3 linked regions of the Tamandua tetradactyla genome follow. The protein of the gene in region 3 purifies or fractionates together with the protein of the main gene of each other region. This does not show direct contact. Links are inferred from orthologs where the notes say so. Each region holds a gene or a part of one and is shown on either strand. Other genes may lie near its edges.

Evidence for each region.
Region 1: the proteins of POLR1C (region 3) and POLR3G purify together in Homo sapiens (affinity purification with mass spectrometry; 4 studies listed by BioGRID and IntAct, counting the BioPlex papers as one, with this or other methods). This does not show direct contact. The link is inferred for Tamandua tetradactyla from reciprocal best matches to the Homo sapiens genes POLR1C and POLR3G.
Region 2: the proteins of POLR1C (region 3) and POLR3F purify together in Homo sapiens (affinity purification with mass spectrometry; 4 studies listed by BioGRID and IntAct, counting the BioPlex papers as one, with this or other methods). This does not show direct contact. The link is inferred for Tamandua tetradactyla from reciprocal best matches to the Homo sapiens genes POLR1C and POLR3F.

The regions. Positions count from the first base shown.
Region 1 is NC_135347.1:40,810,960-40,818,740, reverse strand, and holds the start of POLR3G (DNA-directed RNA polymerase III subunit RPC7), read left to right. Parts: upstream 1-4,691; 5' UTR 4,692-4,819; intron 4,820-7,781. Other genes in the region: acyl-coenzyme A thioesterase MBLAC2, read right to left, coding at 3,646-4,099. UniProt on the Homo sapiens protein: DNA-dependent RNA polymerase catalyzes the transcription of DNA into RNA using the four ribonucleoside triphosphates as substrates.
Region 2 is NC_135327.1:42,132,827-42,139,930, reverse strand, and holds the start of POLR3F (DNA-directed RNA polymerase III subunit RPC6), read left to right. Parts: upstream 1-4,014; 5' UTR 4,015-4,380; coding exon 4,381-4,442; intron 4,443-5,375; coding exon 5,376-5,493; intron 5,494-7,104. Other genes in the region: DZANK1 (double zinc ribbon and ankyrin repeat-containing protein 1), read right to left, coding at 1,746-1,854. UniProt on the Homo sapiens protein: DNA-dependent RNA polymerase catalyzes the transcription of DNA into RNA using the four ribonucleoside triphosphates as substrates.
Region 3 is NC_135331.1:101,093,662-101,100,629, reverse strand, and holds the start of POLR1C (DNA-directed RNA polymerases I and III subunit RPAC1), read right to left. Parts: upstream 2,992-6,968; 5' UTR 2,687-2,991; coding exon 2,618-2,686; intron 2,497-2,617; coding exon 2,425-2,496; intron 1,808-2,424; exon of another isoform or gene 1,666-1,807; intron 1,295-1,665; exon of another isoform or gene 981-1,294; coding exon 873-980; exon of another isoform or gene 619-872; coding exon 486-618; exon of another isoform or gene 211-485; coding exon 91-210; exon of another isoform or gene 10-90; coding exon 1-9. Other genes in the region: protein YIPF3, read left to right, coding at 2,992-3,072, 3,705-3,902, 4,096-4,202, 5,758-5,803, 5,942-6,034, 6,189-6,320, 6,518-6,631, 6,829-6,952. UniProt on the Homo sapiens protein: DNA-dependent RNA polymerase catalyzes the transcription of DNA into RNA using the four ribonucleoside triphosphates as substrates.

The sequences.
Region 1 (7,781 bases), on a different chromosome or scaffold from region 3:
TAGTTTCCATTTTACCTATCTCTTCTACCTTTTGCAAGTTTTTCAACTTTATCTTCCAGAACTTCTATTAAATAATTTTTGATATTTTAACTCACAAGAGCTCCTTTTTGATTGATTTGTTCTGTTACTCAATTTTAAAGCATCCTTATTATCTCTTCGATGTCTTGGATTCAATAGCTTCTGTTATCCCCTGGATGAGTTAATAGTTTTTCCCACTGAGTTGCATTATTGTTTGTTTTGAAACTTGATCTCACGTTAGAGGATTTTCCAAAACGCTTGTTTAAGCATTTTAAGATTTGGGGATCCAAAGGTTGTTTGAAGCATATGCCTAGGGCCTAGTGTCACAGGCATCTTGGTTTTTTTCCTTTGGAGCTGGGCAGAACCCCAGATAAAAATTCTTCTACTTTTCTATCTGGGGAGGAAAGGCCTGGCTGCTATCCTTCTGGAAAACCAGTGAGGACACATATGTGCATATATTCCTCATGTTTTCCACAATGAAGTCCTAAACTCAATAATGTTTGGTGTCCTATCCTGAAATCAAAAAACTCTTCAGTTTTAAAGAGTGGGGGAGGGGTATTCATTTTCAGCAACCAATGTAGGGTTTTAACAGCTTCTAACATGTCTTCCAACCAATTTTACTCATTTTAGTATCCTTTCCTTCACCCAATGAGGTACTTAATAATTCCTGAGCATCTTAAGGCTCCTGCAACATAAATGGCATTGGCTCCTGATTTCCTAGTGCAGGCACAGGATAAAACTAACTCAGTCCCTATATCTGCTTTCCAGATCTGCAATAGTTCCCTGGTCAATATGGATTTATACTTAAAACAAATAACCCACTATCCCTTTCTAATAGTCTTAATGGGGTTTTGGGAGGGAGCCAAATTACATGGGTCTATTTAATCTGCTACCTTCTTGGAATCTGTATGTTTGTTTTTAACCTCTCTAAGCAATTTAAGTCTACTGGAACCACTCCTCTGACACAATATTTACAATCATTGTAGTGTCAGTTCAGATAATATCTTGGTACTCTGGGCAAATTGCTTTAAACATGTATAAACGTTCTTCACATCACTTGATAGCACTTCATATTATTTAAATATTGTGAAAAACAGGCAAAATGATATCTGCCCATTTCAAGAGGAAACTGCTATATCAATCTAAAGTATATTACTATCTTCTTATAAGTAGATATTATTTCACTATTAGGGTGAATTGCTTTTGCATCAAAGATATACACTGGATGATATAGCTGGTGTCTTGGCCTCTTTGTACCTCATTTACAAGTCAGCTTTTGAGTTTGGAATACTGTGCACAGATTTATGCTTCTCCATGACAGGTGATCCTCCATACACTAAATGAAATGTAATAAACAAATGACTCCAATCTCCTTGCATTCTAATGAAAGCAGTGAAGACTTTATCCTGTTTGGGTTTGTGCTATTTGTGTTTGTATGTGTGCGTGTGTGTGTAACTGTTTATAAATTTTTACTATAAATATTTTATATCTTTTTCCAGTCATCTGGATCCTTAATAGCAAGTTAGAATTTTTGAAGTAATTTGTTTGCCACCCTGCCCCCCCGGAAAATGTGTGTGTACCATTTTATGACATTGTTGGCTAGAATGAACCAGACTCTATTTTTTATTCAAAGCTCTGCCTCTCTTTGGAGACATGTCATGAGAATAAAAATGTACACATTCTCTGAAAAAAAAAATAGCAAGTTAGAAAGCCACATCATTCAGAAGAGACAGGAAATTAACATACCTGAGAAGGGAGGAAATTAGATACTACTTGAGAGTGTGAGACAACCAGCTCCTAATGAAGAACAACTTTTGATAACACAGTATTTTCACCTTCAAAGTGCTTGGTAAATATTAAGCTTTCTGATTACACCTTCAAAAGTCTTAAAGCTCCACACAAGTAACTTGCAGGTCCTTTGCAGTTTCAAAATGCTACATTCTACCATCAATTGGAATTCAGGAAACCTGGGTTTAATCTCAGCTCTTGATCAAACTGGTTATGTTTGATCTGCTTGGGACTCCTGTTTTCATCTATAAAACAAGGGAGTTTCACTTGTTGATCCCAATTATTCTTTTGATCTATAAATCTCCCTTGGTGCCTTCAGAAGTAATTTATTCTTTAAAAAATTTAAATACATTTAATATTATTATAAACATATTTTGGTCTAGGTGGGATATAATTCACTGGAATCAACTAATTCTGAATACCTAGTAACTGCATGTAAATCTCACCTCTAAAAGTTTGAATTTTATCAAGAAATACATAAATTAAAAGGACATTTAATGTGAATGTACTTTTTTTCATCTTGAACTGTTATGAAAAGATGTTTTGGGTGGTGTGGGCAATTTATAGAATTGTGTTTTCTATTTTTTAATATTGCAAATTAATGAAATCTTGTAAGATAAAAGTGCTTATTCTTTATTTGGCAGTATGGCTGGGTCAAAAAGTGAGCTCTGTCTGGTACCTATTGTACTTCAACAAGTGGGTCTTTCTACCTTATAGAGGGATATATTGGTAGCAACTAAAATGGTTTGGAAAGGGAAAGGAAAAAGGGGATTTCATTTTACAGAATTATCGTAATATATTTACGGGAGGAGATTCATGTATGTTCAGTTTGCTTGGATATACTGCACCTTGGCTCCAATCCATTTTGTTAACTATTTTGCTCGGTAGACTTCAGCCAAGTCATCTAACTGGGTGTCAATGGCCTCATTTCAATTGTGTTGTGAGGGTAAAAAGAAGAAAATGGAAGCATCCTACAAAGAAGGAAAATTTAATAAACCAAACATTGCTACTATGGCTATTTAGCTCAATTATTTAAGCACCAGCGTAGAGGGTTTGAGGCAGGGGCTGACACCTTCCTCTATTTTGTTTTATTCCATGAATTTCTTTCTGAACCCCATTCTTTCACAGAGCCAGAAAAGATCAGGATTACCTAGGCATTAGACGACATCTCTCTCCTCTACCGGAAGCAACATCCTAATTAATTATTCTCAGGTTTGAGACTCAGACATGTTTTACTTTTATGTTCGCAATCACGCTTTTTTTCTCGTGAGGCAACATCAAGAACAGAAATCTATTTTGAAGATAATGGTGCTCGATCACATTGGAACCGCTACTCTCTTAATGGTCTTCTAAACCTACAGGTGGTAATCGCCCACATGCAGTGGTGACCAAGCAGATGAAGTCAGCAGTTCTCAAAAGCATAGCGCATGGCATGCTCTCTTCCTGAGGTGTCACTCCTTAGAAGTCTTCTCGTTACAAAAGCACCTAGAAATGTCAGACAGGTGCCCGGAAAAGCACTGGGAAATCCCAGCCACAAGTCCCTGTAGCGCTACTACTGTTAACGGATCGAGGAAAGTGACTAGGGGGTGGGGACGGCTTTCACTCGAGCAGCGCAACCGCTACACAGTGGCCGAAGCCGGGCTCGGCAAGGAAAGCTGCAATGGCCTTGCCTCTGATCGGGTGGGCTTTTACTCAAGGAGTGCTGCAACTGAAGTGGTGTTTATGCGACGTGCCAAAACAAGCCCCTTACAGCCACGCAGGTCTGCAACATGCATCCCTAGGGCCGTCTCTTCCCCCATCCCTTCCCTTAGAGAGCGCGCGCGCATGGGGGCCCCTTACCATCCTGCAGGACCAGGGTGGGCTGCACAGCCTGCACTCGGAACTGCCTGGCCCTCCAGCCGGGGCTGGGTGCCCGCACCACCTCGCTGTCGGACAGCCAGGTCACCGTCTCAAAGTTGTCCCCACGAGCGAGAGCCTCGGCCTCGGCGTGGTGCACCGCCACTCGGTCAAACTGGTAGAGGCCGCCGGCGTGGTCGAAATGCACGTGCGTGGCCACCGCCAGCAGCGGCCGGCGCGCCGCGTCTTCCTTGGCTCCGCGGTCCTGCAGGAGACCGGAGGAGTACAGGTACTCCGGGAGGCTGCGCAACCCCAGGCCCGTGTCGATCACCACGTCCTGCTCCGAGCCGCGCACAAGCCAGATGTTGGCGCGGTTGCCCGACTCATAGAAGCGTTCCTGAATCCAGAAGATGCCGTCGCCCAGGGACTTGTGGGCGTACCACTCGAGCGCTGACATCGTGGGCAGGGGTGCGGCCGGGGGTGGGCGGGTGTGGGCGTGGGAGCTTCCCGCAGGCTGTCCGGAGGAGCGGCGCTGCGGCGGTGTGGAGCGCGGTGCCCACAGGCCGGAGAAGCGCAGAGCGAGGAGGGGGGCGGGGGCTGCGGAGATACGCGTGGGGAGGGGGGAGCAGGAAGGACGCCTCGCACCTCCCGCACCCTCCCACCAGGTCCGCAGAGAGCAGAGGATTCGCTGCCCGCACCCGGACGCAGGAGCACTAGCTGTCCAGCACAAGGCGGGGGAGGGGAGGCGTCAATGCAGGGGCCGCTTCAACAGAATGGAGATCCAAAAGGCGATACTTTCACCACCTCGCGAGGAGAGGGGCACTGGGGGCTGACTGCAGAGGCGTGGGAAGTCCCGGGTCTGTCCGCCCACCCGCGCAGCACTGTGCTCACTCCCAACCGGCGCCGAAAGAGTCAGGCCAAGCCGGTTGGAAGAAAACTACGGCGCCTGCCAAGGGCTAAAAAACCTTTAACCCAGGAGGTGGGGCCTGGCTGCGGGCTGGGCGGGGCTAGATGGCCGGGCTCAGAACGCGGGCCTGCGGCCGCGTGGAGGGCGGGGCGCGCTGCTCCAGAGGTAGATCCCCCGGCCGGCGGCGCCGGCTCCCTCCATCCGCACCCCTTCCTTGCCGGCCGGCACCTCGGCTGCAGTTTTGCCCGAGCCGGGAGACTTAGTGAGCAGGTAACTGAGGAAGCAACCGGGACCCTGGGAGGGGACGAGGTGGTTAGGGGGGAGTTTAAAGAGGCACATGGAGTGGGTGGGGGAAGCCAGGCGTGGAGATTTAAGGTCCTCTGGGAGGAGAAATGTTGAGAGATAGCTTTATCCTCTTCTGCTCCATTCAAAATCTTTTAGTTGTGGTTTCTGGATCTTACTTGGTCTCCACTTCCTGGGACCAAGTGATTTAGGGGGGAACTTATTTACTCTTACTGATGGTAGGAGATTTACCAAATCCTGTGACTATGCGATTTTTCAGGTACTAGTCATTGCCGCAGACTTGCCCCCTAAGGACAGATTATTCAGGATCTGTTTTTAACTGTGGGCATTTTACCCTTCGTGGGGAGGGAGTTTGTTAAGATTTTTCTTCTTTTTGAAAAGTAAAATTCTTTATTTTTCTTCACCTCCCCTCGCCCCTCATTTTTGGTTAGTTGGTTCGCTGTTGGAAGAGAGCAAGGAAAGTTGGTAGGCATGCCCAACCAAGGAAAGGTGGAGGCAGCCAGCCCTTCTGACGCCTGGAAAAGTGAATAATAACTGGGTGTGGTCCCGCCAGCCACGTAAATCACCTCTGTTATTAACACCCGGTGCCTGCAACCTCCCCTCTCCTTATCTGCAGCTTTTGAAACATCCATTTAGGCTTAGAAAATTCCCTTGAGAGCTTGATTTACCTCCCCACTCAGTCAGGAAAAATTATTAAGGGACCCATGAGACAACATTATAAAAGATAATTATGGAAACCCTTACTCTGGCAGTTACTAATAAGCCTTAATAGAAACAGAGGTATATGCTCTTCTACATTTTTAAGGCATTTGGTGGGGATGCGACCTTTCTGAAGATTTTACTAATCCTTGGAGGTTATCCAGTCACCACCTAGGGGGGCACTTTTATGTGCATGACCCTGAGCTAGATGCTGTATGAGGAAAATAATTGTGTGAGAAAGACATGATCTGAGTTCTCAAGAATGCGAAGGAAAACAATATCTGTACACAAATTTTTGCAATACAAAGCAAATATGGGGTATAGACCACAGAAGGAGTCGAAATTAGGTGCAATAGAGTACAGCTAAAAGATGTTTTTATTAGGACATTCTCAGCAGGGAAATACAGCGCTCCCAGCAGTTCGGGTATTTTTCATCTAGGCAGAAAGAAACCGTTGGAGTTGAAATGAAATGATATCCTTGTGAGACCAAAATCTCAGCAAAAATTCACCCAACATTTATTGTATTTTTTTGCCAGGCTCTGGTTAGGGATAGGACATAAAAAGAAGAATAGGTTTTTATAGAGACCCTATGCATTTACAGATCCCTCTCCTTATATCCCATTTTCTCCCTAGATATCCTTTCCAAATTCCTTGCATGGTTCCCTCCCCTACCTTCCTCAGGGAAAGCCTCTCTCCCTTACATTCTTCAGGGTGCTCAGATATTACTGAATGAAGAAAAGACTTCTTCAACCATCCTTTCTATAGACGGGGTGTTCCCAAATCTAGTTTCCACTCTTTCCACTGTAGGCCTTGAGTTTAATTTAAATTTATTCTCCATTTCCTATACTAGATTATGAATTCCATGAGAGCACAGACTTCGTTTTGTTCATTGCTATGTTCCCAATGCATAGAAGATGTCCTGATTCATAGAAGGTGCTTAGTAACTACTTGATGAATAAATGAATGAAGAGACATAATGGGGGGACAGGCAAGAAATGAACAATTACATTACAATTCTAAAACCAGCCATAGAAGCATGTACTACTTGGTAAACGCTGAGAAGGGAGAGGACTACCTCTGTGTAGGGTGTTGAAAATAGTCACAGAGAAAGTGACATTTTCAAGGAGTCTTAAAAGGATTGCTCGGGCTTCCTCAAGTGGATGTGGGAGGACACTCCAGGCGGAGGGTACACTGTGCAAAACTAGGGTAGCAGCGTTTGCTGTGGTTAGAGTCTGGGATGCAGAGGACTAGAGGCAGAAAGTTAGACTCAAAAAAACTCTCTTGGGTGTTTATAAGGTTGAGAGTGACAGGTCAAGATATGTTTTGTAGAAAGGCAAATGGAGAGTGCATTGAAAGACTGTCCATGGGAAGTTTGTTCTGTTTTAGAGGTTCAGGTGAGAGACCATGAGGGAGTAAACTAAAGGAGAGGTGAAAGAAAGGGAGTGTGTGGGAGAGCACACAGACCTGATAGTCTTCTATAATTAGATGAGGGAATGGAGAGAAAGGAGGTGAGGATGACTATCAGGTTTCTGATTGGGGCTACTAAGGTGTCATTCATCAAGAAAGGGGCTGCAGATAGTGAACAGGTTTGCTGGAAATTTCAGTTCAGGACACACTGAGTTGAGATATTTGTAAGATACATAGGTAGAAATATGCAGATGGTCAAGATAGAGTTCTTAAAAGAGGAGAGAGAACAAGGCTGGATTTAAAGATTGGAGAATTCTTGCCATGCTGGAGACCTGAGTTTGATTCCCAGTGCCTGCCCCTGCAAAACAACAACAACAAAAAAGATTGGAGAATTCTCCAAAGAGGTTAAGTGAACCTAAAGTGGATGGACTCCCTCATTGGGAGGTAAAGTGGATAGACTCACTGGGAAGAGTTTCTAGAGTAGTGTCACCGCTGTGGGGCATGAACTGGAGGTGTACATGTTTCCTAACGGCTCCCAGGCTCAAATGATTATGGAAGTTGCTTCCCAGATGCTCAACTTTTGTATGTACTCCTTTCTAACGTTCAGAATTCACCTACCTTAGAGGCTGGAGGTCTACATCTTGCTAGTTTTCCATTCCTAACTTATCTTTCCCATTTGTCTTTTTCCATTTTACAAAAGAAAGGCATACCTCTTATTCACCCTGGATTTGGTGCATTGCTTGGCGTTATGAACAATGTGTGATTGCCAAGACAAAGGAAAGTTCTATAGGTGTCTTTGTTAAGAAGGTGAAGAAAATTTGGT
Region 2 (7,104 bases), on a different chromosome or scaffold from region 3:
AGTATATGCAAGGTTTCCTTGGGGCACTGGGGAGAAAGGAGGAAACATTTAACTTTCCAACTTGTAGAGTTTCTGATATTCTCATAAGCAGTGGAGAGAACCAAATCAACAGGCCAAGTCCTCAGTCTTGGGGTTCATCTCTATGAAACTTATTCCTGCAAAGGATAGGCTAAGTCAACTTAAAATTAGGTCCAAGAGTCACCCCCAGAGAACCTCTCTTGTTGCTCAGATGAGGCCTCTCTCTCTAAGCTGACATAGCAAGTAAACTCACTGCCATCCCCTCCTATGGGGACATACTCCTTTATTCACTGCCCAAATCACTCTGGGATATATCGGGGCATCATACTAACCTGGACAAACCAACAAAGTCTCACACCCTATTCAATATTCCACATACTTACGGTGTTCAATTAAACTGACCAGGGGCGTAAATCTCCCTGTCAATGTGGGACAGAAATCCTGGGATGAGCCAGAACCCAGCATCAAGGGATTGAGAAAATGTTCTTGACCAAAAGGAGGAAGAGAGAAATGAGAAAAAATAAAGTATCAGTGGCTGAGAGATTTCAAACAGTCAAGAGGTATCCTGGAAGTTATTCTTATGCATTATAATAATATAATATCCCTTTTCAGTTTATGGGGTATTGGAGTGGCTAAAGAGAAGTACCTCAAACTGTAGAGCTGTATTCCAGTAGCCTTGTTTCTTGAAGATAATTGTATATATATATAGCTTTCACAATGTGACTGGGTGATTGCGAAAACCTTGTGTCTGAAGCTCCTTTTATCTAGGGTATGGACAGATGAGTACAAAATATGGATAAAAAATAAACAAATAATGGGGGGACAAAGGTAAAATAAATTAGGTAGATGGAAATACTAGCGGTCAATGGGAGGCAGGGGTAAGGGGTATGGTATATATGAGTCTTTTCTTTTTTATTTCTTCTTCTGGAGTGGTACAAATGTTCTAAAAATGATCATGGTGATGAAAACACAATTATGTGATGATATCATGAGCCATTGATTTGTACACCATATACAGAATTTTTGTATGCTAAGAATGTACGTTTGTATGTTAAGATTTATCAATAAAAATATTTTAAAAAATGTATATAGTTGGAATCTCAGTATCTTCTTAATGAGGGCATTTATTCATGTCTTATTGATAAAATTTTCCCTTTTCTTTCTGTTAATTAAATATGGATGCATATATTTTTATTTGATATATTTATAATATTTGATATATTATTTACATAGATCTTACACTTCACATATATACCAATTCATTGATTCCTTGCAATGGCTCTAAATGGTAGGCATTATTATTCCTATCTTACAATGAGAAAATTGAGACTTAGAAAGGCTAATTAATGTGCCCAAGGTTCCTAGAAGTCATCAAAGCCAGGATCCAATCCCCAACCTGTCTGACTGGAAATCTTGTGTAATAGGTCAAATTTATTAGCCTAGCAAACTAATGAGCATCCTGGGGAAGTCTGGGGAAACACTAGGACATCTTACCTTTGCTAAGGTGTCAAGGTATACAACATTCTCATACAGAGGAAAGACTGGTCAAAGCCCATTATCTATGTTTTAATCTACATAGATAACGCTCCGTCCAAGTATAACACTTGTAAGCTTTGAAAACTCCCCTAAGTTAAAACAAGCATGGAAGGATGTAAACAAATAAACAGACGAGCAGAAAACTTATGACGGTGTTATTTTAAATTATTTTAAATACATTTGATTCCTACCTGATTTCATTTCCAAAAGTGTATTGCTATCAATTTCATGTTTGGCTTTTCCAGGCTGAGGCACTTGCAATGGTATGATTTGAGGGACAGACACCGAACCAGCAGTCATTTTCTCTCCTGATATTAAAAAATTACATGAAAATAAATTTCAACGTGTACTCATATTTGAATGTAAGCTGAAGAGAAGCACCTTGTTTGAAATGCAGTAAAGTTAATAAAAAAGAAAAAGATTTTGTTAATATTATTCCATTTTTAATTGAAATAATGATTATGTTTCAGTTGTATTTTTTGTTGCTGAGGTTTTGTGTAGGGTTTTGACTATCTAAATCCTCCCCCTCTTTTCTGGGAAAAAAAGCATGAATGAATGGAATCGGGTACTAGTGGACTTATTAAATGGGCATATTAAGGAATGAGGCAGAACAGAGACCAGCACTAATGATTTGACCTAGTTTCCACTGATCAGTACCACCCATTCCCACCTCCTACCACTGTGCCACCTCTCTTGGCTTTGGGGTAATCATCACACCAGAGAAACAGTAACTCTATATGTAGCATTAAATGTTAATTTAGAGCCACCTCCTTTGGTAAACTCTAGGTCCTCAAGCCCCAGTTGTCATCACAGTGGTCCCTGCATTTCAAAGCTGCAGAGAAGCTCCAGAAGGACTGGAGAGTATCAGTCCTCAGCAGAAAGGAAGCTGGCATAGATATAACCAGTGCCCAGCAAACACAAGTCTCCTATTCCATTTACTGTATTTACAAATAATAAACTAGCTCAGAGGCCTTATAGATCTTTTTGTTGGGGCGTGTTATCCTTTATAACACATAAAATCTTTCAGGGAAATAAAACCGTCACTTCAAAATAGCAACCATTTACATCTGTGTATGCCCTTTTCAAATTTCAGTGATTGTGACACATAAGTTTTACTCATTTAAACTACATATATTCATTCAGTTTTTAAAGCCTACTTCTCACACCCTCAACTATTTACAATCTTCCATATGTTTATGTATTACCTATCAATTTTTGGTTAGGCATTTAGGCAAGTTCAAGTTTCTTTTTGAAACTTAGTTTTGGTTGTTGCAAATCTAAATAATATTGCTCTAAACATTTTTGCGGTTTGAGTTTTGTCACAGACTGCATTTCAGAAATGGGAGAACTAAATTTAAGGGGTGAACTTAATGCCTTGTTTGACAGTTCCAGGTTGAGGGCAGTGAATTTAAACTGCAGATACTAACAGTAGAGCAATAGCCCCTAAGAAAGGTAGCTGAACCTTGTGAATGCTTGCAAGAAATTGCTCGGCTGCTACTTGTCCAAATCTGCACTAGAGACTTGTCCAAACCTTAGCATGGACTTTTCTATTGCTAGGCCATGCCCCTGGACGGGCCCCTGCCCCCATCCTGAGCTCTTACCTAGAATGATGCAATACTGCTAAACCGCATAATATACTGTTCTCAGAAACTGCACAACATGAACCCATTGCTAGACCCCTGAACTTTTTCAGATCCCTCTCAGCAATTATCCAGTCCTCTTTGTGCTCTTTAAAAAATCTGACTCCCTCTGTGCTAATCGAAGTTGAGACCGGCTGCCGACTTCTCTTCGCCCTTCCATGGCAGTTTAAATAAAAGTCTGTTCTGACACCGTCTGGTGCTTTCTCTGACACATTGAAGGGCTTGCCAATTCCCGCATTTCCATTAGCGTGAGATGTAGTTGAAATAAAAATAGCTGAAATCTCCGTTCACAATGAAAATAGCTGGAGAGGGAGGAATTCGCCCGCGGCACTGATACCTGCTCTCGGGAGGCAGCGGCGGCCAGTGGGCCCCACGCAAAGACCATGAAGGGCCCAGACCCGCGAGGCCCAAACGACAGCGCGGCGTCAACAGCACCCCTTCGCGCCAACACACGCACACATAACCCTACCCCCCCGCTCAGACCTCCTCCCTGCTGTCAGGATTTGCAGCTCCATCCCGTACCCGCCCCCGCCCATCAGCTTCAACCAGGGACACCCGTATCCTTTAGTGAGTGAGGAAGGCTCTCCTCCAGCTACCCCGACCGAGATTAGGACCCCTCCACTAAGCCCCTGCTGCCTCCGCCACCCTCGGGGTAGGGGGGTGGGGGTAGCTAGCCTCTCACCACCTTTCGCCGCCTCTTGCAGCCTGCTACCCGGCGGCCCAGGTTACCACAGACACTGGGAGCAGCGTCCCGCCCGCTAGCAGCTGGGCAGTTGATTGGCGGAAGCCCGGCTTCCTAGCAACCAGCTCCGCCCCTGCGGCTTGGCAGGGCTGGTCTTGCCTCGGCTCCTTTACTACGGCTCCACCTTAGGCATCCGAGAATGTGCCTTCACAGAGGTAGGAAAGTGCTAAAAGACGGCGTCTCAACTCAAAATGAGGGAACCAGACTCGTTAGTCCGACAAGCGTTAATAGTCAGGAAAACAAGAATAAGAAGCTGTGGCAGCGCCGGCACGTGAGGCGGAGCAGGCATGGTTTGGCCACCTGGAGCCGACATATAAGGAAAGACCGACTGCGACACCAGGAGGAAGGCCCCTCGTCCCTAGTGCTGTTTTCCCGGCATTTCCCGGCTCCTTACCCAGCCATTCCGTGAGTCTCTTCACTGCTGGGGCCGGGAACTGCGCCCTCATGGCTGAGGTGAAGGTGAAGGTGCAGCCGCCCGACGCTGATCCGGTGGAAATAGAAAACAGGTAAACGTGTGAGTTTTGGTTCAAGGCTTCGGGTACCTTTTGGTGAAAGCAGCGGACCTCTTCTCCGTGGACCAGTGTCGGGTCTCACTTTACTCTGGTGCTGTTTTGGAAGTTGCGGTGATACACTTCTTTCCTACATTAAGGTGATCAGTGCCCAAAAATGAGACCTTGGCGTCTTCTCCGTAGTTCTTGTGGATACATTTTGTGATCCGGGCTCCCTTTGTCACAAAAGAGGCCCCCTTTGTCGTGAAGGGAACTCACTGAACAAAACTTTTGGTTGGAGTTAGGGGTGCAGTTTATGATCACGAAGCAGTGTTAAGCCACATGGCTTCGGTGAGGTATTGAAGTCAAAACTTTAGAGCACTTAAAGCTACTCCCAACTATGTATTCTCTGCCAGTGTACTTCTCTTTATAGATATTCACACAGTTTTAAAAGACCCAGCTCTCTCAAATTGTTATAACAGCTATGCTGATCCTATGACAAAGTGAAGATTTGGACTTATTTTTGCTTGGAGAGAGAATTCCAAAATCAGGCTCCAGTGAGGGAGAATTGTTCTAACAAGTTTTGCCTCTTGTTTACAGTGTTATGGCTACCCATTGCGTTGTCTTTATTATTATTCAGTAATTTCAAACTGACAAAGGCAATATGCCTTGTCATGTTTATTCCATCTGAGAAAATTGGAGCCTCAGTCTCAAAATTTTTTTCTGTATTTTCACTTAACTTTTATTCTAATTTAAAGTTGAAATTAGTGAGGGCACGTATATTTAGGAAGCATGTTCCTCAGTTTCTTACGTACTTTGATTCAGAACCATCATAGAAACCCAGGTTATCTGTTAGATGTGAAAAACACCCAAATTCAAACTGTTCTGCTTGGATTTCCCCCCAATGCCTCCTGAAACAGATAAACATATCATTAATGCCTTTGTTCCTAGGATTATAGAATTATGTCACCAGTTCCCTCATGGAATCACAGACCAAGTAATTCAGAATGAAATGCCTCATATAGAAGCCCAGCAACGGGCAATGGCCATCAATAGACTGTTGTCCATGGTAAGGAGAATCCAACTTATTCATGTAATGTTTTATATGTTTTGGTTTCCATTACTTCCTATGACGTAGCCATAAAACCGGGTGTGTTAGCTTGTGACTGATAAGACAGCTCAGACTAAGCAGGAAACCTCTGATACTAGGAAACAGCTAACCAACCTGAAGTGAGTAAAGAAGTTCTAATTATGGGTCATTTTATAAGAGCAACAAAATAAATTTTCCAATATTTATACAATAAATGTTGTATTTATTAACTTAATGGTCATTAAGGTAATAAGGGCACATACGTGTAGTCTGTGCTCACCTCTGTTTGTTTCCCTACTGCTGGTATTGGGCACTTCCATATAAAATAAATTCCCTGAATTCTTTGTGAGTTGTCACAGAGCCAATTCATTAGAATATCACCCTCCCCAATCTCAAACTGGGCATTTCAAGAGGTAGGAATGAGTTAAATGTCAGCAGTGCTGTTCCTTTAGGAAGAAGTGCAGGCTTTGCTAGTGACATCACAGTGGGGTGTTTCAGTGAAACGTTTTCCCACAGTCCAAAAACACCCCACCAAGTGGTAATCTGTGCTCTAAATTTACCTATTTCTCCTTCCTTTCCCCCATTTTCAAAACTCCCATTTCTTGAAAGCATTATAGTGTGGTTTTAGGAGCAATTAAGTAAAAGAGTTCAACATTAACACCTCATCTGAATGACTGATTTGCTTTTTAAATCAAATTTTTTAAATGTTGAATTTCTAAAGACGCTTGATATGATGATTTGCAGGCAGGGTAACCTTCTGTTAAATCACTTCTTTACCCTTTTAGCTCAGAGATTGGCACTTTTTCTATAAAATGCTACTTACTAAATATTACAGGCTTTGTAAGCCATACAGTCTGTTGTAACTATTCGACTCTACTTTTAGCGAGAAAATAACCATGGACAATATATAAACAAATGGACATGGCTGTGTTCCAATAAAACTTTATTTACAAAATCAAACATGTGGTCCAGATTGCCAGCCTCTGTTCTAGCGCAAGGGAAGAAGGAGTGTAGGTAATTTGTGGTCAATTTTCCATAAAGGTCTTCAGCTCCAGGCAGGATAGAGGAAGGGATTCTGGGTGGTAGAAGCAGTGGGAAATATTACTTTTGGTCCTCCAACTACCCCTTTAGTCCTCTCCTTTCTTTTCTGACTGAGAGTTATCTTCAGCTTCTACCCACTGCCAGTCCTATTGGCCATAAGCTATAAGCAGTGGTAGAATCATAGAGGGATTTTTTTTTATATATGTTCGATGGCAGGGTCACATTTCATTATTTTTCCATGTGAGTATCCTGTTATTGCAGCACCATTTGTTGAATTTTTGTTTGGCTGGCTTTTTTGGGGGGGGAAGTGTATGGACCAGGAATCTAACCCAAGTCTCACACATTGCAGGCGAGAATTCTACCACTGAACTATCCTTGCACCCCCCCCCCCCCATGGAAGGATTTTGTGCAAGGGAGTAGTTACTGATAAGTCACCAAGCGTTGCTGATTTAGCATTTCAGCTGTTCTCAAATTTGTCCCATTTCCATTCCTATTAACCCTTGAATTTTAAGCTCTTGTCTCTTACATAGACTATTGCAGTAGCATCCT
Region 3 (6,968 bases):
TTGTATACACTGGAGGAAAATGCATGTTAGATGACTTCAACCTCTAAAACTAGCACACATCAGCCTTTCCCTTACCCTACCACTACTCACCTTTGTGGTTCACATAGAGTTCATTGGGATCAGAGGAATCTTTAGCAGCATGGGGATTCTGAGTGCACCTGACTTGCAGCCGAAACTGCAGAGTATCTATCTCTGTGCCTTCTTCATCTCCTGCACAAATGTAAGAGGAGGAGGAAAACTTGTGAACATTTGCATGCCAGGTACTATACTCAATGCCTATCTCAATCCTCCTGATGAACTTATAAAACAGGTACAATTTTCATTTCACAGATGAGAACATTAACGTTGCAAAAGGCTAAGTAACTTGCCCAAGATCACACAGTAGTCAACCCAGTATCTAAACTCAGGCAATCTTGATTACAAAATCAACTTCAATAAAGAGTTACTTCCCCTGTTTCCAAAACTTTATTTTCCCAGACCCTCACCTTGGTTCCGATATTCAAAAAGACGGGGATCAGCATGAATGGGAATGAGCCCTAGACGATGGGCAAGGATCTCATCCTGGACAATGGATGTGTTGTTGTACACCAGGACCTTTTCTATAGCCATGGTTGGTACCTGCCCAAGGAAATAGTATCACCCATCTGCAAACACTCAAGAGACTCCCCACCCAATCCCTGCCTCCTCATAGGAAAAGAACTCTTCTGAAAGAATGTCTGATGAGCAGTTTACAAGGAATGGGCAAGAGGAATGCCCAGCAAAACTACAAGAAAAACAAGGAGTGGCTGCAGCTTGAGATGCATATATTCAACAAGGGAGGTGATGGCATGGTTCCCCACACAACCCCCCAAATGCCACCTTCCCATCAATACCTCAGCTAACAGAATGCGTCGAAATGCATTGGCAATGGCTGCGTCAATCCCCACCATGTCAAATTCCAATGAGTTTTCATCCATCTGTACCACATCCACACGGAAATTCTAGAGGGGCAAGAAAAACTGATGCCAGCTATCTGTATGGTCAATTTCTCTCTACATCTCCCCTCTGGATATTTCTCTCAAAGTATGAATACCTTCTCATCCAGGAACCTCCCCTTTGCCCAAATGTCCCTCATTACATGTCCCTTTCTCCCGAATCCTTTCTTTTTTTCTTGGAAATTCTGTTTTTATCTATTCAAAACCTTCGGCAATCTGGTTTCTAGCCAGATCATCTCACAGAAGCCATTCTTTTATGGAACTGGAACTTCCACACTGCTTATTCCAGTCGACACCACTCAAGCTTTACCTTACTGGACTCTGCTGCATTTGCCATTATTGATAAAATTCCTTCTTTTTGAAACTTTGATTCTCTTCCTTCTCTGATGATTTTTACTAAATTCACTATCTTCTACTTTCCCCTATGTTACTATTTCCCAGGTTCTTGTCTCCCATGTACCTCAACCCCACACTCATGGTTTTAATCAACTCTACTTTCTGATCTCATTTCAAATATATATTCTTCTAGCCTGCTAGACATTGCCACATGCAGGAAAATGAATGCATCATCATTCCTTCCCCAGACCCATTTCTTCTTAGAGGACACCCACCATCCAAGCAGTTCTTCAAACTAGGTTATTTTACACTCCCCCTCCCTCACCGCACATATCAAATCAATCCCAAATTTTACCTTCTATCCTCCCTTTCCTCTATTTCCATGGACACAGTTTTAGTCCATGCCTTCATTTTCAACTCTTCCAACAGGTCTGCCTGACCCATATCATCCTGCTCAAATTCTCTCCCAATCATGTGAGTTGCAAATCTGATGTTATCTGTATAAAAATTATTCAAAAGCTATTACCTGCAATGCCTAAGACTTACTCCAGTCCTGCCTATCACTCGTGCCAGCCCACCTTACATCACAGCAATATTGAACTGCTTGGACAATGCCGAGACACCTCAAAATTTAGCTTCTGTTATTAGTACCTCCTCTCTCGTCAATGTTCACAACTTGTACTTATCATTGAAGATTGAATTGAGATGCATCTCCTCCAGGCACTCTTCATACCTCGTCCCCATTCCCAGTCCAGATTAGGTCCTTCTATAGGATACCCAATCCCCATCCCATGTTTATCGCTATCAACCGCCACTGTCACACAATACTGGAATCATTTGTTTTATGCGCGCTCTTCCCCAACTTCTTGTTCACAGAACAGGGCAAAAAAAAAACATGCGCCTGATTCAGCCTTGTACACGCAGCACCTAGCACTGGTGGGATGGAAACACGCTCAGTAAACGTTTTATGAACGTTTTGGCTCTAGCCCCAAGGACAACTTCTGAGGCTTAGCTCACACCGTCCGGCCTTCACACCCTCTCCGGACACCTACAGCCCCAACCACCTCCTAATCAGATCCCTCTCCCTCCCTGTACTTTCCCACTCCTCTCTCACCCTCTCGAAGCTGTCCTGGTCCCAGGCGTCATCGTAACCAGAGTAGTTACCGGGGAAGTCGGTAGTATGAACCTAGAGCAAAGAGAGGCGAGCCTGTCCGAGAAGGGTCTGCGAGGCCAAAGGCATCCCCGACACCAACTCATCCCTATTCTGATCCCCTCTCCCCTCCCGAGCCTAAAGCCACAGGACTTACATTTCGAACTCCGAACTCCCCCAGAACCACGCGGTTTCGCATTTCTTCTACCCTCTGGGACGCCGCCATCTTCAAACCCACCACGTGACTAAGACAGTAAATTGGCGCGTGCGTCCTACTAGCCTTGCCGTCTCCGTGACAACGAGCCACCAACTGGAGGTTTAGATATCGCGAGATTCTGATCCTATTCCGTCCACGTCCCTAGCTTCCGGGAGTCTGATTTGGCCAAACATCCGGGCTTCTCCCTTTTTTGCGTTCCGGCTAGTCCTGTCTCTCGTTGCTTCTTGACATCTCCCTCCCTCGGACCCATATTTCGCCCGCTCCTCCGGGCGCGGGGCTAGCGCGGGCTTCAGCGACGGGAGCCCACAAGACACATGGCAGCTACAGCGGCGCCTGTCAACGGCGCCCGAAACGGGACTGGCCCGGAATGGGGAGGGTTCGAAGAAAACATCCAGGTAATGGACCAAAGCTCTGGATGCCAGCAGCCCTAGCGCCGGCAGCCACCCTGTAGTGCCCTGAGGACTCTCCTTCAGGGCCTGGAAAACCGCTCCTAACCTTTTTATCTCCTGCGCCATTTGCAACACTTTTTCTCTCCAGTGGGTCTTGGGCGAGACAGTCGGAGGGGTTAGTGCTGTCTTGAAAGGTCCAGACAGATACTCCAGCCGGAAGGCTTCGGGTCTCTAACCCACCTCAGGCGTTAGGAAGAGCGTACTAACGCTTTTGAGACAAGTTAGGAAGTGGGCCGGAGTCAGACACTGCGGGGGAGGGGCAGGAATTACTGTCACTGGCCGAAAGCATAGTGTGTGCAGTTTTGTCTTGAGCCTTTGAGGGTTTCATACCGAAAGCAGGAGAAAGGTTTGAATGGAAGACAGCTGGTAGGTTTCCTAGGCTAGAAAAGAGAGCCAAAGCTAGGAACCAGGCATTCTGAGAGCAAATGAAGGGGAAGCAGTGAAGTGGCGTGATCTGTAGTAATTCAAAGCCATAGCCCCAGCAGTGGAAGAACAGAGCCCCAAACTTTGGGATGAGAGAGGAGGACTTAATGGATGAGCAGAAAGGCCATTCATTCTAGGAGCCATTGTCTTCACAGGGTGGGGGCTCAGCTGTGATTGACATGGAGAACATGGATGACACTTCAGGCTCCAGCTTTGAGGATATGGGTGAGCTGCATCAGCGTCTGCGTGAGGAAGAGGTAGATGCTGATGCAGCAGCTGCTGAAGAAGAGGATGGGGAATTCTTGGGCATGAAGGGTTTTAAGGGACAACTGAGCCGGCAAGTGGCTGATCAGGTAAGCAAGACTGGATCCCAAACAGGTGGAACAGTATATCTAGGCAGGGCCAGGGCTCTGGAGTCGGCATTGGTGAGGTCTACCCCAGGTAGAACCATGTAGAAATCCAACAGAAAACAGGTAACAGGGCCTAGAGCCAAGAGTCTCACGGTACCCATCCCCCCAACCCCACCCTTCATCTTCGTTGCTTTAGATGTGGCAGGCAGGGAAGAGACAAGCCTCCAGGGCCTTCAGTTTGTACGCCAACATTGACATCCTGAGACCCTACTTTGATGTGGAGCCTGCCCAGGTGCGAAGCAGGTAAGGATCCTTCTAACAGAGTTGCTCTCCTAACCTGGTCCTTCATCCAACCTACACCCATATATCGAGCTGTCAGGCTCCCTACCCTCGTGACCCCACAACCCTGCATCATTGCACTTTGTATCCCAGCCACACCATACCTCTCACCAGCCGTTCAATACAACATGGTGATATCATATTATCTTCCTCCTTTTCTCCATCTAGCCGACTTCTCATCTTCCTCAAAACCTAGCTCAAGTGTCACTTCCTTTGTTCCCTATTCCTTAACCCCCAACTCCAGTTTATTCTCTCCTGGTACCCCTAGAGCATTTTTTGTTTGTTTATTTTGTTTTGTTTTGTTTTGTTTTGCACGGGCAGGCACCGGGAATCGAACCCAGGTCTCTGGCAAAGCAGGCGAGAACTCTGCCTGCTGAGCCACCATGGCCTGCCCCTTTGTTGTTTGTTTGGTTGGTTGGTTTTTTTGCTCCTAGAGCATTTTGCAGTTTTCTCTATGTGACAGCACTTCAGCATTGTGTATTTCTTATTCCTCGGTTTGTCTACCCAGAGAACCCAATCCCTCCAGAGCAGACTCTGTCTTGTTTATCTTTTTATTCCCAGCGCCAGAATAGTCTCTGAACTGGAATATCATTGCATAGCAGCTGAATGACTATTAAAGAACTGAATTTAATCTTGATTTGGTTCTTTGTTCATATTTTTACTTAACCAATGCTTATCAGATACCCAGACCACTCAGCAAATGTCTACTGAACATTTTCTCTGTGCCAGGCACCATACTAGCTGTGCCTAAGTCGGTGGTGAAGGTAGATGGGAGCCTTGCCCTCAAGTGTAGTGAAAATAGGCAGCCGTGTGGGACACCTGCCTTAACAGAGAATACCCAGAATTCAGGGCTGCATTAGTGAAGCCCTGGGAAAGGAAAGGTGTAACTTAGGAAACCAGGTTTTCAGGAGGAAAACCTGACCCAGGGTGGGCTGGGGGATGAGCCAGGGCAGGTTTTCCAGAGAAAGTAAATCTAACTAAAATCCAAAGTATTATTAGGGGCTAACCACTTAAGAAGAGAGTGGGGAAGTATCTTGTACTTTTATTCTTTCTGCCTGGAGTTTCCTTACCACTTCTAATGTAGCTTTCAAGAAAATGTTCAATCGTGCTAAAGAAATAGCAAGCAAGAGGAGGCAGGATGCATGCTGGTTTCCTAAGTTACACCTTTCCTTTCCCAGGGCTTCACTAATGCAGCCCTGAATTCTGGGTATTCTCTGTTAAGGCCTGTTTGTCTGATAAGGGGAATAGGTCAAATAGCTAAATTGTCAGGCCCTCTCCCAAAGCCCATCTGGGCTGAGTTCTCCATATTGCAACTGCTTCAGTCAGCACAGTATCAGAGGTTGTCCTTCCTGGGAATATTTTAAAGGGCAAGGAGGTGATTTTCCCATTCCCTGTCTGTCTTTACTACACTCTCCTCCTATCATCCAGCATATCCTTTAGGTAAGACTCAGGACTTCCCTTCCAGAACCTCACAACTCAGTTCTGCCTCTGCTTTTATGTCTCCTCTCTTCTCTCCCAGGCTTTTGGAGTCCATGATCCCTATCAAGATGGTCAGCTTCCCCCAGGTGAATAAGAGATGGCATGTCTGAGAAACAGGGGAGGCACCAGGGCAGAGGGTAAGGCCACCAGGCAAAGCCTGGGAAGCCATAAACGGGATAGCCATGGTACCCTCCATCCTGAATGAGTTGCTGCTGTATTGACAGAAAATCGCAGGTGAACTCTATGGACCTCTTATGCTGGTCTTCACGCTGGTTGCTATCCTCCTCCATGGAATGAAGACATCTGACACAATTATCGTAAGGACAGAGGACTTTGGGGGGTGGCTGAACTAGGCTGAAAGCTGCCCAAGGACAGGATGGTGGAGTGAGGCAGGAGCACCCCCTGAGGAAGGCCCTGGTTGAGACTGAGATCAGAGGCCTCCCTGGACTAAGCAGAGCCTTCACCCCACAGCGGGAGGGCACCCTGATGGGCACAGCCATTGGCACCTGCTTCGGCTACTGGCTGGGCGTCTCGTCCTTCATTTATTTCCTCGCCTACCTGTGCAACGCCCAGATCACCATGCTCCAGATGCTGGCACTGCTGGTAAGGAGCCAGGCATGGCAGTGAGCAGGGATAACCTTAAGAGAGCAGGTAGGCCTTGGTCTCCATCTGTTTTGGGTCCACAGAGCCTGGAATGGGAGGAGCCAGCCATTGTACCCTTTATTTCTCAGGGTTCCTATGAAGGACCAGAGGCCAACCTCAGCCTGAGTGGTTTTCCTCTCCATTATCCTCCTTCCCAGGGTTATGGCCTCTTTGGGCACTGCATTGTCCTGTTCATCACCTACAACATCCACCTCCATGCCCTCTTTTACCTCTTCTGGCTGCTGGTGGGTGGTTTATCCACCCTGCGCATGGTAAGCTGGGCAAGAGGTTTTCAGGGGTGGGCTGTCCTCCCGGGGAGTTGGGAAAGAAAGGCTGGCACTGGAGCTGAACCCCACAAAGGGTTCTGAATGGTAGAGAAGGGTCCAAAGATGATTCTGCCCTGGGTGGGGTATTTGCCTCCAATCCTTCACTTTGGAACAGGCTCTGAGCTGTATCCCTGTGGCCCTAGGTGGCAGTATTAGTGTCACGGACTGTGGGCCCCACACAGCGCCTGCTCCTCTGCGGCACTCTGGCTGCCCTGCACATGCTTTTCCTGCTCTATCTGCATTTTGCCTACCACAAGGTGGTAGAGGGTAAGTGGCAAAAGAG